2 linked regions of the Struthio camelus genome follow. The protein of the gene in region 1 interacts with the protein of each later gene in a biochemical or structural test. Links are inferred from orthologs where the notes say so. Each region holds a gene or a part of one and is shown on either strand. Other genes may lie near its edges.

Region 1 (8,189 bases):
AGGAAGCCTCCCCTTCCCGCAAGGTGTTCAGAGAGCAGGAAAGGTCCTACAGAAAATAGTATTATCATTCTTAAATACAGCCGACTCATGCTAATAAAAAACCCAGCCTTTTCTTAACTCTTTACACAGGGGAAGCACGTTGGAAAGTTTATGTTAAGGATATATCTACAAGAACATACCACTAGATGAAGGCTCAGAATAGGAGGTTTCATCGAGACATCTCTTTCAATATAACTGTTTCCGTTAGTCTTTGCTTTCACAGGAATAAACTGCTACTCATGCTATTCAAATATAAACATTCACACTCCTACAATTTGCAATCCATAGAGCGCACTGATTGTTTTTGGACGTGAACAACAATAGGGAAATTTATAGTAACTAACTACAAACACCAATAACGCTGAGACACCCGTTTTTACTCTCTTAGCAGAGTGCCCTGCAAAATCAACTCACCAGGACATACAGCGAAAAATTATTGGGCTTTTTCTTTTCCTCTTAACTTTTCAGGTAGTTACAATCACAAAGGCATGCAGCAATACAAACATTTGCATTTCTGGAGATGTCAATATGTAACAGGCATGTAAGCGCAACACACTGGTTTTCTTAAAGATCCATTCCTGAAAACTTTTATACGTACATTTAGATTTTTTACACGTACATTTAGATTATATGAAGTGATGACAAGCTAAGTGAAATCACTGACACCACTCGCTTGCATATGCTTAACCATACGCAGCCTTGCATGAACACGGCCCATGTGTAAACAGGAAAAGTTGGAAAACACGTAACTTTTGAGAACTAATCTGTTACTTGCCTTATATTTACCAAAGCACAGAAAGATGTTGATTTCTATTTCAAAAATTCAGGCATTTAAAATTAATTTATACTGCAGAATTAAGCATTCTAGACTGATTTACCTTCAGGTTCCAACGTGGCGTCTTCAACAACTAAATTAAATGAAGGTCGAGCCAGGGAAAGTCCAGCCATGGTGACCACCACCAGGCATATAAGGCAACCTGAATCCCAGCTGACCATCTTTTTAGTGTAAATTCCTGGTCCATTTCCATATCTCCATGTGGACTTTAATCCCATCTGAACACCTCTACAGAAGCATGGACAGAAAGCAGTGCCTTCGGCCACGATAATACCTCCTCGCTTGGAACGTCTTCTGCTGCTGTGGGAGAAAGAGAGATTTAACAGTGTCAGTGAAACCATCTCAAATGCAAACCAAAAAAACTTCACAAAGCCCCAAACAGGATTGAGAGTGGGAGGAGAAGGATGGGAAAAGTAGTTTTCCAGCCTCAAGAATATGTGAAAAGTGAGTGACTTTTCATTTTCTGTTAGCAGTTTCCATCATCACCTGAGGCGTAACCAAGTCCTCCTTGTTTTCCCCAAATCACTTCTCAGCACATATTTAGAGAGTTATTTTAATGACAGAAAAATATATAGCTTTAAAAAAATAAGAGCATGCACATGTGCAGGCACATAACCTTTAATATTACAAAATTACCACAATTATGCAAATTGTATTCTTGTTACTGTTTGACAGTTTATGTAAGTTTGCCTTGTTTTTCAGTCCTTCACCTAGGCAGTTCTGCAGTCAGCTGAATTTTCAATAATTCAGTAATCTTCTACAAGGAAAACAATTGAAAAATACTCTCTAGGCTAGAAAATCTGGAAAACTTTGCATCACTGCCTGAATTCCAACTCTTCTCTACACTTCCTTCCGCCTAGCTTAGTTCAGTGTCCATTTGAATGTCTGAGAATCCAGTACAGGTAAAAGGGTCCAGTCTTTGCAGCGGTACTTCTTAATTAAAGGGGATTTCAGGCAATTAAAATCCGTATAAAGTTTGATATAGATTGCCGTTTCACAGGAGATCTCCCCAGCATCATTTTCCATCCACACAATGCTAAGCTGCAAAGCACGCTTACCCATGCACGCACATTTCTGCTCATTCTCGCTTGGGGATGCTCATTGATATGTATTTTACAAATGAGGGGGAAATGTTTATTTCATTCACTGCAAAACAGATCATTTAAGACGAAGATGACTGTTCGGTAAATTAGCTATGCGCTGATGGAAAAGAGAGGAGAAAAAACAGCATCAAACTACTTGACACTGCCTTCAGCGTCAGACCCAGTGACCACCACACCAAGATGCCAGGTGTGGGTCTGAAGAGCATCCTCATGCTTAACAGCTTATCCAGAAAATGGCACCTTATTTTCCTCTCCAAAAATAAAAGTGAGTATACCTCAGTGAATGGATAAATCAAGTAACTGCATCAATTGTTCTAATCTGGCCAATGATCAATCTTAAACATGATGAAAGTTAACCCAAGTTTTGAGGGTGCCCATCTTGAAGGAAAAAAAAAAAAAGCATAAAACCTATTTTTCCCTCCTGCCCTCACCCTTAAAAAGAAGAGGGGGAAACAAAGGGATAAAGGAAAGTTTCTCAAAATTCCCTGCCATCTGAATGCGCAGAACACTAGAGCACCTCAACATGCTGTACTCAGAAACAGAGACAAATACTCTCTCCCTCTGTAAAGGCAACCATTAAAAAGCGTACTCAAATTTTATTAGCCTTTAGCTAAGACCTGGTACATACAAACCAGGTACACCGTATTAAGAGCAGAAATGCTGTTGCGGTGTTTTTTCTGGGATACTATACACAATAATTTCTGGAGTCAGTAGAAATGGATATTAGAAGACATAAATAAGACAGTTGGGGAAAAATCATTAATACGTGGTATTTCTAGTGAAGCCATGGTATTTGAAGTCAGTTTTTTTCACCTCAACTAGTATCAGCTCAATGCTCCATCCTCTTTCAGACCACAAGCTAGCAACCACTATTAAATCTTCAGTGAAAATACCACCAGACCACTGCATAAACATTTGTGAAGAGTTCTCTGAACACCTCTTCTTTAAATAAGTGCAGAGCAGGTGTAGAATTGAAGACTGGTTTGTGTTTGGTGAAGGACTGGAGCAAGCCCTCCTGGACACTATCACCCAGATCAACCCTCTGACTCACTGTCTGACAGCCACAGTGCTGTGGCTCAGTTTATCCAGCTGTAGAGTGGGTAAAAATCCCAATTAACAGACTGCATGTAATGCTAATTCAATTTCCACAAATCATCCTGTGAAACCTGATTAAAGCCTACGTATACAAATGCAAAATTTAATCATAATTTCGCAAAAAAGAAAACATACTGGAATGCTAACATATATTCCAGACTCTTTTTTAAACAGCATCAATTCCGTTCACATTTCAGCTGTTTAAGGCTTTTAGGCTACATTAAAAGTGATTTAAAGCATGCATGTGGCTCCTACCATCATACTAAGTCCTGAACTGTAGCACAGGGCTACTTGCCAACGCACCTTCTCACCTGAAGATTTTTGACAGTTTCTGTACCTGAACATTTGCCAGCAGAAAGAAGGGATTCTTCATCCACAGGACAACAGAAAATTTTAAAAATATCTTGCAAAGGTGTAGCAAAGCAAAAATCAGAGCTCTGGGTCCATCCATGGAACCAAAACACCTTCTACAGCCATGATAGTGACCATGGTTCAAGGACTGCCCTTTCCCCCAAAAAAACAGAGTCCAATGAAAAAGAAATGAAACCAAATTCTTTTCATAGTTTAATTGCCACAGTTGCTGGGGGACGATTCTCTGGAAAGACCTCCTGCACTGGATAATTATGTACCTCTATCTCAATGTTTGGAACACAGCCCCAGCATGCTTTTTGGCCTCCACAATTCTGGCTTCCTGACTACAATACCATAATCCCTCCTGGAGTCTCAGACTCAGTGAAAGCCACACGTAGTGTTTATTTTTCCCCTTGAAAGGGAACTCTGTCTCTCTTCTCAGCCTACACTTTGGGGAGGAGTTGTCAGCCTCCAATGATTGATGGCTCTCCTTGCCACTCGCTCATCAAGTCAATTTTCACCTCGTCACATACCTGCCCAAATTTCTGTGCCAAACTGACAAGCATGGGAAAGCAGACTGGTTTGGGAGCCTAACCAAATTCCTCCAAGCTGTACTTCAGTTTAAACACACACACACACACACACACACACACACACAAACAAGTAGTACTTGTTCAGCAGTGGCACTAATTAAATTCAATGCTCCATGTTCTTTTTAATCTACTTGCATTGTTGTTTATAAGATGTTTATCACTCCCCAGGGAGAGTACAATTTGTAGCGTATGTTAACCAAATCAATACATTGCTCATTGTATAACTCTTTAGCATCTTTCTCTACTAGGCACGGAATAGCAAAATCTGAATGAAACATGAATCTTCCCTCCTCAAAGAAAACCCAGATGCCCTAACAACAGCCTAGTAGCTTCATCAGAAAAGTCTAGGTACATGAAGCTTTAAAACTAACTGTTACGCATGTATATAATCACATGTATGAAAAACATAAATACACAAGTGTGTGTGTGTGTATATATACACTCACATATATATCTACATATACATATATAGACAACAAGACTCTTCATCACTGTTCAATCTCCAAGTAGATTTGAGCATCACAGCTATTAAACATTAATTCTGGAGGACTAATGGGAAACGGCTGGCGGCTTCAATACTTTTTCATTGTTCAAACTTCTTTCATTTGCTTTCCAGGACTATCCTGTTTTTCTCAAGTCTTTTGCCACTAAGAGATCAGAAAAAAAAAATCTGCATTTTAATTGACATTCCAGAGAGAGAGAGAAGTCCAGAGGCTGCTGATTGCTGTCTATTCAGCCCAAACAGGCTTTTCAGATGAAAATGAGTAAAGGCTAGTGGAAGATTTACAGGGATTTGGTACAAAGGAGACAATGAAGTTTTAAATGTTGATAGCGTTTCACACCAAACGCATAATGGATCACTGTTTGAACGGGCCGTTTTGCATTTAAATATATATTTCACTGAGGATCTCTTCTTTTCTCCCCCCCCCCCGCCCCTTATCTCAGGCGGGGGCAGTTATGTACCGCCTGGCCCTCTAACCCCGAGCATCGCGGCGGGGCACGGCGGGCGAGGACCTCCCGCTTCTCGGCGCTTTTCCCCGCCTTTGCGCCGGGCTCCGGGCGGCCCGTCGAGGCGCCGGCGGCCGGGGGCTGCGGGGGCTCCTGCGCCCCCGGCCCTACCAGCACCTCTCCGGGGGTCGGGAGCGGGTGGAGGGGGGGGCAAGGTTAAGCCTCCCTCCTAAAAAGCAGCCCGCTAACCGTGTCGCCGTGCCGTCACCGCTGCAGACCCTCCCCAGAGATTTCCGCGCACCAAACGGGCTCCGTTTTTCTGCCAGGCTCCCGCACCCCGAGCCGCAAAGACGGTCAAGTGATGGAAGTGCCCCCCCGACCTCCGCGGAGCCCCGCACCGCAGGCTGCGGACGGAGCCGCGGGGCAGCGCCCCTCCGCGGGCCGCCCCCGGCCGGGCCCGCACCTCTCCGCGGCCCGCGGAGCGGCCCGCCCCGCCCCACCGCCGCCGCGCACCAGGTGCGAGGCCCCCGGCGGCTCCGGCGCCCAGAAGCCGGGGTGGGGGGGGGAGTCCCGCTCTCGGCCACCTTGCCCCCACCTCGCCTTTTGGGGGGGGGGGTTGCATTTGCCTCCCGCTCCCCCCCTCCCCATCCCACCCCGCGCCGGCGCAAACCCAAGCGGGTGCCGTTTACCTGCAGGAGAAAAGCTCCGCGGGAAGGGTCCGCTGCCGCCGCAACAGGCGGGCAGAGGCGAAGCGCGGTGCCTCGCAGCGGCTCGGCGGGACGGGGAGAAACTCCTCCGCGGCCGCGGGTCACTCCGCAGGTAGCCCCGGCGGGGCCGGCTGGCAAGCCCGCAGCGGCGCAGCGGGGCGCATCCCCCGCGGGGCGCGGGCGGGACGCGGCTCGGCGCACGGCTGCGCGGGGAGGCAGGAGCAGCGGCTGGGAAGGCGAGGCAGAAACCGGCCCGACTGCTCGTCCCCTCGCTGCGCTGCGCTGCGCTGCGGCAGGCTACCGCCTCAGAGGGGCGACCCGGCCGTGCCCAGCGCCAGCAGCCTCGTCCCCCGCGCGGGCATCGCCGAGCGCAGCGCCGCGGGTCCGGGTCCGCTCCATCCAGCCTCCCTCCCGTACTCGCCGCAGCTTTGTCAAGCCGACAACCCTCCTCTTTTTTTTTTTTTCCTCCTTTTTTTTTTTTTTTTCCTCCCCTCTCTCTTCTCTGCACACTCCTCCGGCTACCTTCCTCCCTCCCCTGGTCACTCCCCCCGCTGCAACCCGAGCCGTTTCCTGGACGGCGCTGCTCGCCTCTGCCAATCGCGGCGGCCGCGGCGCGGAGCCCCTTCCCCCGCGGCCGCCCGGCGCGGAGAGGAGCGGAGCGGAGCGGTGCTGTGCCGTGCGCTGCCGGAGCCGCCGCGCAGCCAGCGCGGCTGGGCACCGGCCCGGCCCGCCCCCGCGCAAGGGCTGCGCTCCGCGCCCCGGTGTTCCCGGCTGGGCAGAGGGGGCGGCCGTGTCCCCCCCCCCCCCGGGGCAGCTGGGTCGGGGCCGGGCCCGCCTGCGTCCCCTCCGCGCACCGGGGCCACGGCCCGCACCGGCGGCGTAGGCAGGGCAGGACTGGGCTCCTCATGCAGAAATGGTACCAGCACAACATTCCCGGAGAATCTTTCTTGAAGTTTTTAGGGCCATGGCTGGCTGATCCGTAGCCTGTTCCAGCCTGCGAGGGTGATGAGATAACATGCAGTCAAAAAATCACCTTCGTCTCAGGAGCCCTTTTAGCGCAGAGCCTGATTTCAACTGTTTTGGATTCCTCTGACAGTACACCTTTAATAATTCTGTATGTGGTGCCCAAGGAGGGAAAGCTGTCAAAACAGTTCATCAGATCTTATTTGCCTGCACACACAAGATTTAGAACAATGCATAATATTAGCATTTAAAATTCAGTGCAAGTTAAACTGATACTTGCTTAATAAAACATTTGCTTTAGATATCATTAACTAAAAGGTTGCTAATACAGAGTCCGTGTAATGCTTGCTTTGTAGAATCAGCTCGGCAATGAAATCAATAAGCGGCAGTTGCCTCAAATTAAATCAGCGTTGATCAACTTAGTGTTGCTTTATTTAAGCATAGCTCCACTGTACCTTTTTGTTCTGTGCTCTATCAGCAGAGGGGATCTTCAAGGACTGTGACCCCACAGAACAGTATAACTCTGTACATACTTCCAGACAGCAAAAAACCTGAAAACAAGTTTTCTGTAGAGTATGTGCTTACCTCCCAGAAAGTGTTTTCCCACCATCACCAGCAGCAAGGCAGGCTTTGTGAGGGACAGCAGACAAATTTGTAATTGATTAGAAACACATTTTTTTCTTTTTCTTTTTTTTTTTTTGGTTCCTAGAGCCACAGACATTTGAATGTTCTAATTGAGAAGCTGAGATGTCACAGTCAAGGTCCAATTTTCCCAGGTCCAAGCATGTCCATTGCCCATTGAAAACACTGTTAATGCATTCTCACATAAATTATTGTCTAACACAGGAAGCTGCAATACCTTTCCCCATTCATCGATATCTTTGCATACTTTGAAAGAAAAGGAAGCATTCCACTAAAAATGACAAATCAGAACACCTATTTCCAATGTCTGGAAGCACTCGTCAGGAATTATTCTTCTGAGGAATGAAAAGATAGCAGTCTGTCATTAGCACCCTATTCTCTTAAATGAGCCACATTCTCTTAAAAGTGGCCCACAGCAGCCCCACTCCTCAATCTGAGAAAAGCAGAAGCATGTTTGGAATTAAAGGGGGTGGGGGGATCAATTCTGTCATCATATTTAGGCTTCAAGAGATCTCAGTGGGCCCAGGGAGCCTTTCATAGCAGTTAGGCTGCTGAATGAGAGCATAATCTCTTTACAGTTTTTTCCTCCTCCTCTCAAAGTGGCTGGAATCTTTTTTGTGAGCCCTCCTGCACGTGAATGGTGTGGCTAATAAGCCTATTAATGAGGTTCCACAGTGGAGTGTGAATAGGTAAATAAGCCCCAATCTGTTGAGGTTCAGGAGCAAGGGCAGTAAAGCCATCATGAACTAAAGGTGACAGTTTGAACTGAAATAGGAACAACAGCTCCAGGTTTCAAGCAGAAGAAAAGACAGACAAGGCCCACATTCAGAATCCTTCTACCCCCTACCGAGCTCTATTTTCTTTCCCATTCTTCCTCCTTTATAAAATGTCTTGAGTAGTCACCCATTTTTTC
Region 2 (7,445 bases), on another chromosome or scaffold:
ATTTCAGGGTATCATTAGCGTGCTTCAGCAGCATGGAATCCTGCAGAGCATTGAGAGTCTTTGCTTGAATTTTGAAATAATGCTCAATTACTAACCAAGTCCTTAGTTAAGCAGCATGGGACCACAAAAAGCAAATTTATATAATTATTTAGCTCTATATGTTGACATAATCTCTTCAAAGTATTTCTGTCTAAATAATAACAGGAACAAAATGGGTAGAATGGATATTAATTTCTCCGCCAAAAAAAAAAAAAAAAGAAGAAACTATTTCAACAGTCAGTAGCAGTTTTTCTATGGACGTCTATGGGAGCAACATTTCACTTCTAAACTAGTCCTATAGGTCTTTATTCTAGCACTGTCTTCCTGAAACTTGGAGAGAGTCTTGAATATGGACCAAATAATTTATTTGGCTTCTGGCCATGTGGTACCTTTCAGATCATTATGGTTTTACAGAATATAATAGTGTAGGAAGAAAGCAGGCATATAGAAACAAATTTTAAAAGAAAGTAACATTAGTCAATGAAGTTTTAGCCACACAAGATGCCAAATACTTAATGCAGTCGTGAAGTAGAGCAATACATTATGAAGCCCACTAGCTAGGCACTTAGCATTGAAAAGTGCTGTTTTTGTAGAAAATAAGCAGTCATCTTCAGTTGAAAGCTGAAACACATTAACAGTTCTTGAAGTTTTTTTTTTTTTTTAACTGTTATATAAGGCACAGTAATATGTGCAACATACATTAAAACTCCATTTAATTGCATTCTTGGACAGATATTTGTCCTTTCAGTAGACTGTAAACACTAGACCAGCATGTCTCTGGCCCTTTTTCCTTGTCATTTTGTTTTGAAATATGTAATAAAATCCTATGCTTTTTTCTGCTATATTTTAAGAAATGAATATAGAGTCTTTTAAAGGACTCCAAATATACACTATATTTGTGATAACAAAAAAGCCAAATTGGCAAAAATAGTGAATGTAAAAATGATGCCTTCAAGTAGTTGTAAATGAAAGTTCTACAGGTATATACGTGAAAAATATATTTTAGAACAATGATTCTTTTGCCAGTTCAAAAATTGTATTTGGTAGGACTTTGCAAAATTTTATATGTCCATTCTCTCTAGATGAGTCATCTCTTTGGAAGAAAGAGGAGAGAATATTTTTTCATCATCATGATCGTTGTAATAATGAACTGCAGAAACTATAATAGATTTTGTTCCTGACTTGGCAAAATATCTAAAAGATTTTGTAAGACAGTTTACATAATTCTTTCCATTGAACTTTCTAGTATTGCATATGTTTTAATTGTTAACTCAAACATACTAAACTTGTAGGTAGTCTGTGGACTATATAAATGTGGTTTAATGTTTCATAAGTATTTTATGAGCAGAATTTGTGGTTAAGCATTTTCATACTTACAACCTTAATTCACTTGTTAAAATAGGCTCTCTGTTTGCTAATAGTTACCAGCTGTAACTAATACATTAGCAGATCTACAATGTAGTATTTAAAATGACGCATTTCAAAATCAATAACAAATGTTTGCTGTAGGATTAGTTGGAAAACTTGTCTTATACAATGGTCAGTATGCTATACAAAATTATTTTGAAATTACTGTGAGTTAAGGGATAGGAAACAATGATGCGTGATTTTTCTAAAAACTTAGAAGACAAATAGCAGATAGCAAAAGATATTACTTACTGTAGTTGTTGTTTGCTTCTCTTGTCCCTTTTACTTTGCCTCGCTTATCAATCCTCATATACCACTGAGTTCGACAGAAAAGTCTTCTCACTCTTACATCCCCCCCTTCCATATAATCATAGCTTCTGGTATGTCGCTCAGGGCTGGAACAGTTCACATTTGTAGCCATTTGCTCTGGAGTCATGTCATTGCAAGCTAAAGATATAGTGCCCATTAGAAAGATAAGGTAAAAGTATGATCTGTAGAGCAAAATTGGCAGGATCCATGTCAGTATCCATTTGTGCATTATAGTGCAGTGTTCTGGGTGTTCATGAACAACATAATGAAAATTAAATCTCAAGTAGACTGTTGCTCTTAGGTCACCGACCTGCCTTCTGTCTTTATGAGTTACAGATTGATTTAAATGAGATTGTTCCCTCTTCTAAGAATTCTGATCCTTATTCCTTAATAGTTAATGGCGAAATGGAAGAGCTTCTTAAATATCTTTTCAGTCAAAATATCCTTTAAAGACACAAGTTATAAAAACCTTTGTTGCTGTGACCTTCTGTACTACTTGAATTTGCTGCTTGCACTGCAAGTAAAAGATCTGTGAGAAAAGTTGCATGTGTAAGTAAGTATTTTATGATCAGTCGTTACAAACGTGCAAGAATATATTATACTACTTAAATGTACCGTACATAAATGTATGACATGCTAAGCTGGTTTTTAAATATACACAAATGTATATACAACAGATATCTTTATATAGCTTTTTACATAAACAGACATTTAAACTGATTGTAAACATACTTCTATCTTCAGTTCAGTTATAAGTCCTTCCAAAAAAACCCTAGTAAGTCAGCTGAACTATGTTCTCATGCACTGAAAAATACTACTGATTACTTCGTACCTATATCTTCACTATTAGCCACATTCTATCAGAGAACATTTCTCTAGTCCAAATTTCAAGAGAGACCACATGGAGCCTTATTGCTTTCTTTTTATACGTTCATTTTCAGTTTATTGATAGAAAAATTAGTCAACACTTTTTTAGCGTCTAACAAATAGAAATCAAGATAAAAGCTATTAGCTATTAGTTAACTGTTGAACGTTCTTGTAAGGGCAGATAACTTACTTGTTTCTGTTGATAACAGCTGGATACCCAAGTATTCCATTTCTGTTGTCTGCGTTTTGCAACATGAGACTGTGCTGTAGCTACAGACTTTCTGAGCTCAGAAAGACTCCACCAGAATTATAATTGTTTCCATAAATCAAGACGCTAGAGAGATGGTGTGTATGTGCTTATGCATGCATGTGTGTGTTGAGCCTGTTGTTCAGTCCTTTTCGATAAATACCTTTGCTGACCTCACTTGGAAGCAATTAGAATTTAACCAGTCAGCTGTCAGTTGAATCCACGAACAAAAATAAAAGGAGACTTGTGCTGTATAGTGTCCAGTGGTCATCAGAGGGAGCTATGTACATAGTTTATATTTTAAATCTCCCAAGAATCTACTTTCTAAAAACGTATATCCTATGGTGTTGCTTTACGTGCCAGCTAGCGTTTCTGTTCTTTGATTTAAGTCAATATTTTTCTGTCCTTAAAAAAAAAATAAATCCTCTCTTTCACACACACCTTTATCTCAGTTTTCCTTCAAATCTTTTTTGCAGTTTGATAGATTCATACTGTTTTCTCTGCTTACTGCCTTTCTGATGGATAAATGAAACATGTGGGCTTGTTATGTACTGTGGAGAGGGTGTGCTGTGGCCATTATAGATTGTGCGTCGCATTTGTGTATCATAGACTTATAAAAGAGGAGCAACTGCACAGAAAATCACTGAGATTTTTATTTAATTGGCCACTAGGGGAAAATAAGACTATATATTTGGATATCTGACATTCAAGCACAACTTTTATCAGCATGAAGGAGAAAAAGAACTACTAGGAAACAGTCTTCCTTAGCATATGTAGTTATTAGGTCCTGAAACTCACAACATGAGAATGAAAAGTTGCTGCAATGCAAGTAACACCTATATACAGCACATTGACCAATGGATGACCAGCAGGCTTAAATTGTAGAGGATCCAAGTAATGGCTAAATATGCCAGGTTTTCCGCTTCTATATGCTTACTTCCAGCTGTGGCACTAGCCTGCTATCCAAAGCCTATGTTCCATTTCAGCCTGAAAAGATTCTGTTGGGATTCTGATGAATGTATTTGTAAAACATATGGAAACTGTGGTTTTCTGTAAGGAATGGATACATCAAGAACAGTTTACTTGCCTTAGTTGTCTATAATTGGTACTATATTGTAGTTTGTCTTTCCCTGTTTTTTCTCCCACCCCTACTCCTCACTCTGTAGAAATGGGAACAGTTACTTCTTAAAACTTGATTAACAAACTGTAGAGGCATTTAAAAATGATAGGGAGTACGTATGTGCCACCTTGTGGTACAGGGAACATAGTAAAGCAGGGTTTTTCACTGAAATATTCCAAAATGAGCATCAAAGGTATATGACACCAGGGGACCTTATATTACCCAGCCTTTCCTGTACACAAACATAGAGAATGGATCATTTCCTTCCTTGAAGTCCCTGACTTCTTCCTCAGAGCTCTCTTGGATTAATCCCATTTGTCACTTGCAACTTTTTTTTTTTAAAACTATTTTCCCTCAAAGTCCAAAGGTAATCAACTTTCCTTCTCATTATCTCCGTTTCAGCCTATTGGGCTGTTTTGCGTGTTCTGTCACTCAACTAAAATTTCCTAATTCAGCAAAGAGCTTGATGTATACACCTCACAAGGTAGGGAAGAGGTGGCACTGTGTACCTTTCAGAGGCTGGATGCCTCCAGTAGATACACAAGGAAGTGGCTCTCATTAAGGCTAACCCCTGTAAACTGTGATCACTGCTGTTCCCAATTTGCTTGTATCCTGTCAACCCATGACTACTATTCTGACCAGAAGTGGCAACTGAAAGGACTTGCTGCGGTTGCGCTTTTGCCAGTACATTTGTTGTGTGTGTATCAGTATGTTCTCAGATCCATTCCACAGCCTGAGTTCAGAATGATAGCAATGAAAAAAATCTGAGGCATTCACAAGGCTTATCTATTGTGTATTATAAAGAAAGCAATGAAGGATAAAATGTAATCTATGTCTTACTTCTCAAAGTAGGATGCAAGCAGAAATATTTTTGTAAATATTCTGAGTCTTTTATGAGCAGTAACAACTTTCACTTTCAGATCCATACTTACTTTTTTTCATTTTTCTTTCTCTTTACTAACTTGCTGTTTCTTTTTCTGACTGTTAGTAAGAGAGGGGGAAAAATACATACCTGAAGTTTCAGTTTCAGAAAGCTGGAGCTACTTGTGTCCAGGCATAGGCATGTATTTCTCTTGGCTCTGCAGAATAAATCAATTGCCTTAAGTATATTTTGAAGTGGTGCTTCAGTTCAGATCTTTATGAAGTTTTGTATTTAGAATAATTGAAAAGCAGTTTAAATAAGGCACTAGCTGTAAGTTTAGTCAGTGAACAATGTAGTTAATCTTTAATTACTGCTAACTTTCATGTCCTCACATTGTCTAATTTTAGAATAACTTTTTCCAAAATGTTTTAACTGTAGTATTGTTTAATCACACAGTTTTATGTCTTACTATATAAGTACAACTGCATATTTTTTAATGAAGGAGCGCCATCTTGATCTGCATACGCAAGTCAGGATTTCTCACATAAATCTCAGGTCCCTTGATTGATTCAGCCCACTTCTGTTCAAGACAAGCATAACTAATTCCTCTCTCAAATTGACCTATTTTAGTTTTATGGAAGATCATGCAGTTGGCTTGAGTTTCACTTCTTCCTCTATCTTCTTACAAACATACATGCCCAGGACTTTTAAAATCAAACCCCAAGCAATTCTTTAATAAAACAGAGAAATAGTTCCCCTAAAATGCTAGAAATTTTGTATTTCTTTGGCAAGATGTATTTGAAGAAATGTGTTAAGGCATCATGACTACAGGAAACATGAAACCTTAAAGAGAAATGCATAAAATTCACACACTTTAAGCCATCCTTTAATGTTTAACTCAACCTGCTCCCTTTACAGTAACCCTTGTTTCGGTTTCTGCCTGATTGGCAGGCAAATGTTCACAGCACTGCTGCAGTGCGCGTCCTGAAAAGACGGCAAATGAACAGCAAGCACTTTGTTTCCAGTTATAAGGATTGTGCCCAGGCCTCCAATTCAAACAGAAACACATAATAATCTTTTATCTCTCTTCACTCACCTTGGAAGCTACTTTTTGGAGGCAAACATGGTTTTCTTAGCAATTTTCAAAACAAATCCCTGAAACATCGTTCATTTGTATTTGTTTACTCCATTATTCATCTAGAACACGTCGAGCTGATTTAATTCTACAGGAAAACTGGAATGGGATGCAGGAGATTCTAAGAAAAAAATTATTGTAAAGTAATTGACAAATCTATAACAATTTTCTTTTTTTGTTAATTAACTCCTGCAAATTATTTGTATGTAACTTATTTTAGGAAACATAAAGGATGGGAATACTTTAGCTCTATCAGTAATCTATCTTACCTCTTGCTTAAGAGGTAAAGGCATCTCAGCTTATTTCCCTAGGAGAAAGAGTCACTGATACTGACTTTTGAAGGAGATAGCCGGAATAAAGCAGAGTGGGATTCTAAAGATAAACTTTCTGGGAGTCGGATGAATCTCTCCTTTCTCAATGTAGCTTACATAGTACATGGTTATAATAGGTCTCCTTGCTATTAATAGCTTGATAATGATAATCCGTGCTGTCAGTCAGCTTCAGGGAATCCTTCCATTTGTGATGACATCAGGACACTTGGAGTGTGATTAACATAATGTAAGATGCAGAATTGAATTGTAACAGTAACTTTTTGGTGAAGGTGGAAAGATTATAAAATTGAGATGATAAACTATTGAAGAGAACAGTTTGGTTTACCTTATTACCAGGTATGAACTTGGGAAAGCCTCTGTTTTTTATGTGACTAGCACGTTTGTATTCAATTTTTACTTTTACCAGAATACTTATGATGTAGCGATTTCTTCTGCCGGATTTTAAATATATTTTATTTCTTTTGCTTTAAGATGTGCAGCATCTTTTTATAGACACGGTTGGATACGAGTTAAGTTTAAGACTTTAGATTCCTAGAACTTTGCTGAAAAATCTTTTTTAAAACATTGCCAAAAATATTATTCCCATGACTATTAGTAGTAATAAATATGAAATAGTCTTCAAGCTCTGCTTTTGTCTCTGAGTATAGTTATTCACAGATTTGAATACTGCATATAATTCAAGAATGGGATACACAAATGTTTTCTATCTTTTTGTTTTTAAGTGTTCAAACAAGCTAGTATTTTTAGCCCTTCACATGGGTACATGTAAAGCATAACTATTACTGTGATTTACTTCATTAAGCATTTCAAGGCTCATAAGAGTTTTTAACATAAGAAGAATATAATACATGAATGAAGTTTAAAGCAATAATAAAGCCTTGTTGCCATGATAATATATACCCATTATTAGCCTCTCTGCCTGCTAGTCTTTTCATCTTAGAAAACAACTTTAGTTCCTTCTAGTTGGAGCCCATTGCAAGGCAGATTTTGGATGGCAGGCTTTTCAGCTCTTTTCTTTTCTTTTTCTGGGTTTAAAACTGTGGCTTCACTGATCTACTAATGATGCCTATTGAACAGAGGTTGATTGAGAATGGAAAATTATCCTCTTAGTCAAATGTTTCTTTGTA

What was found.
Region 2: the proteins of FGFR2 (region 1) and FGF7 form a complex in vitro, tested with the Homo sapiens proteins (3 studies listed by BioGRID). The link is inferred for Struthio camelus from reciprocal best matches to the Homo sapiens genes FGFR2 and FGF7.

What each region holds. Positions count from the first base shown.
Region 1 is NC_090948.1:6,146,561-6,154,749, reverse strand, and holds the start of FGFR2 (fibroblast growth factor receptor 2), read right to left. Parts: upstream 3,453-8,189; 5' UTR 3,418-3,452; coding exon 3,410-3,417; intron 1,175-3,409; coding exon 918-1,174; intron 1-917. UniProt on the Homo sapiens protein: Tyrosine-protein kinase that acts as a cell-surface receptor for fibroblast growth factors and plays an essential role in the regulation of cell proliferation, differentiation, migration and apoptosis, and in the regulation of embryonic development.
Region 2 is NC_090953.1:12,915,512-12,922,956, forward strand, and holds the start of FGF7 (fibroblast growth factor 7), read right to left. Parts: upstream 3,001-7,445; 5' UTR 2,878-3,000; coding exon 2,813-2,877; intron 2,285-2,812; exon of another isoform or gene 1,985-2,284; coding exon of another isoform or gene 1,938-1,984; coding exon 1,699-1,937; intron 1-1,698. UniProt on the Homo sapiens protein: Plays an important role in the regulation of embryonic development, cell proliferation and cell differentiation. Required for normal branching morphogenesis. Growth factor active on keratinocytes.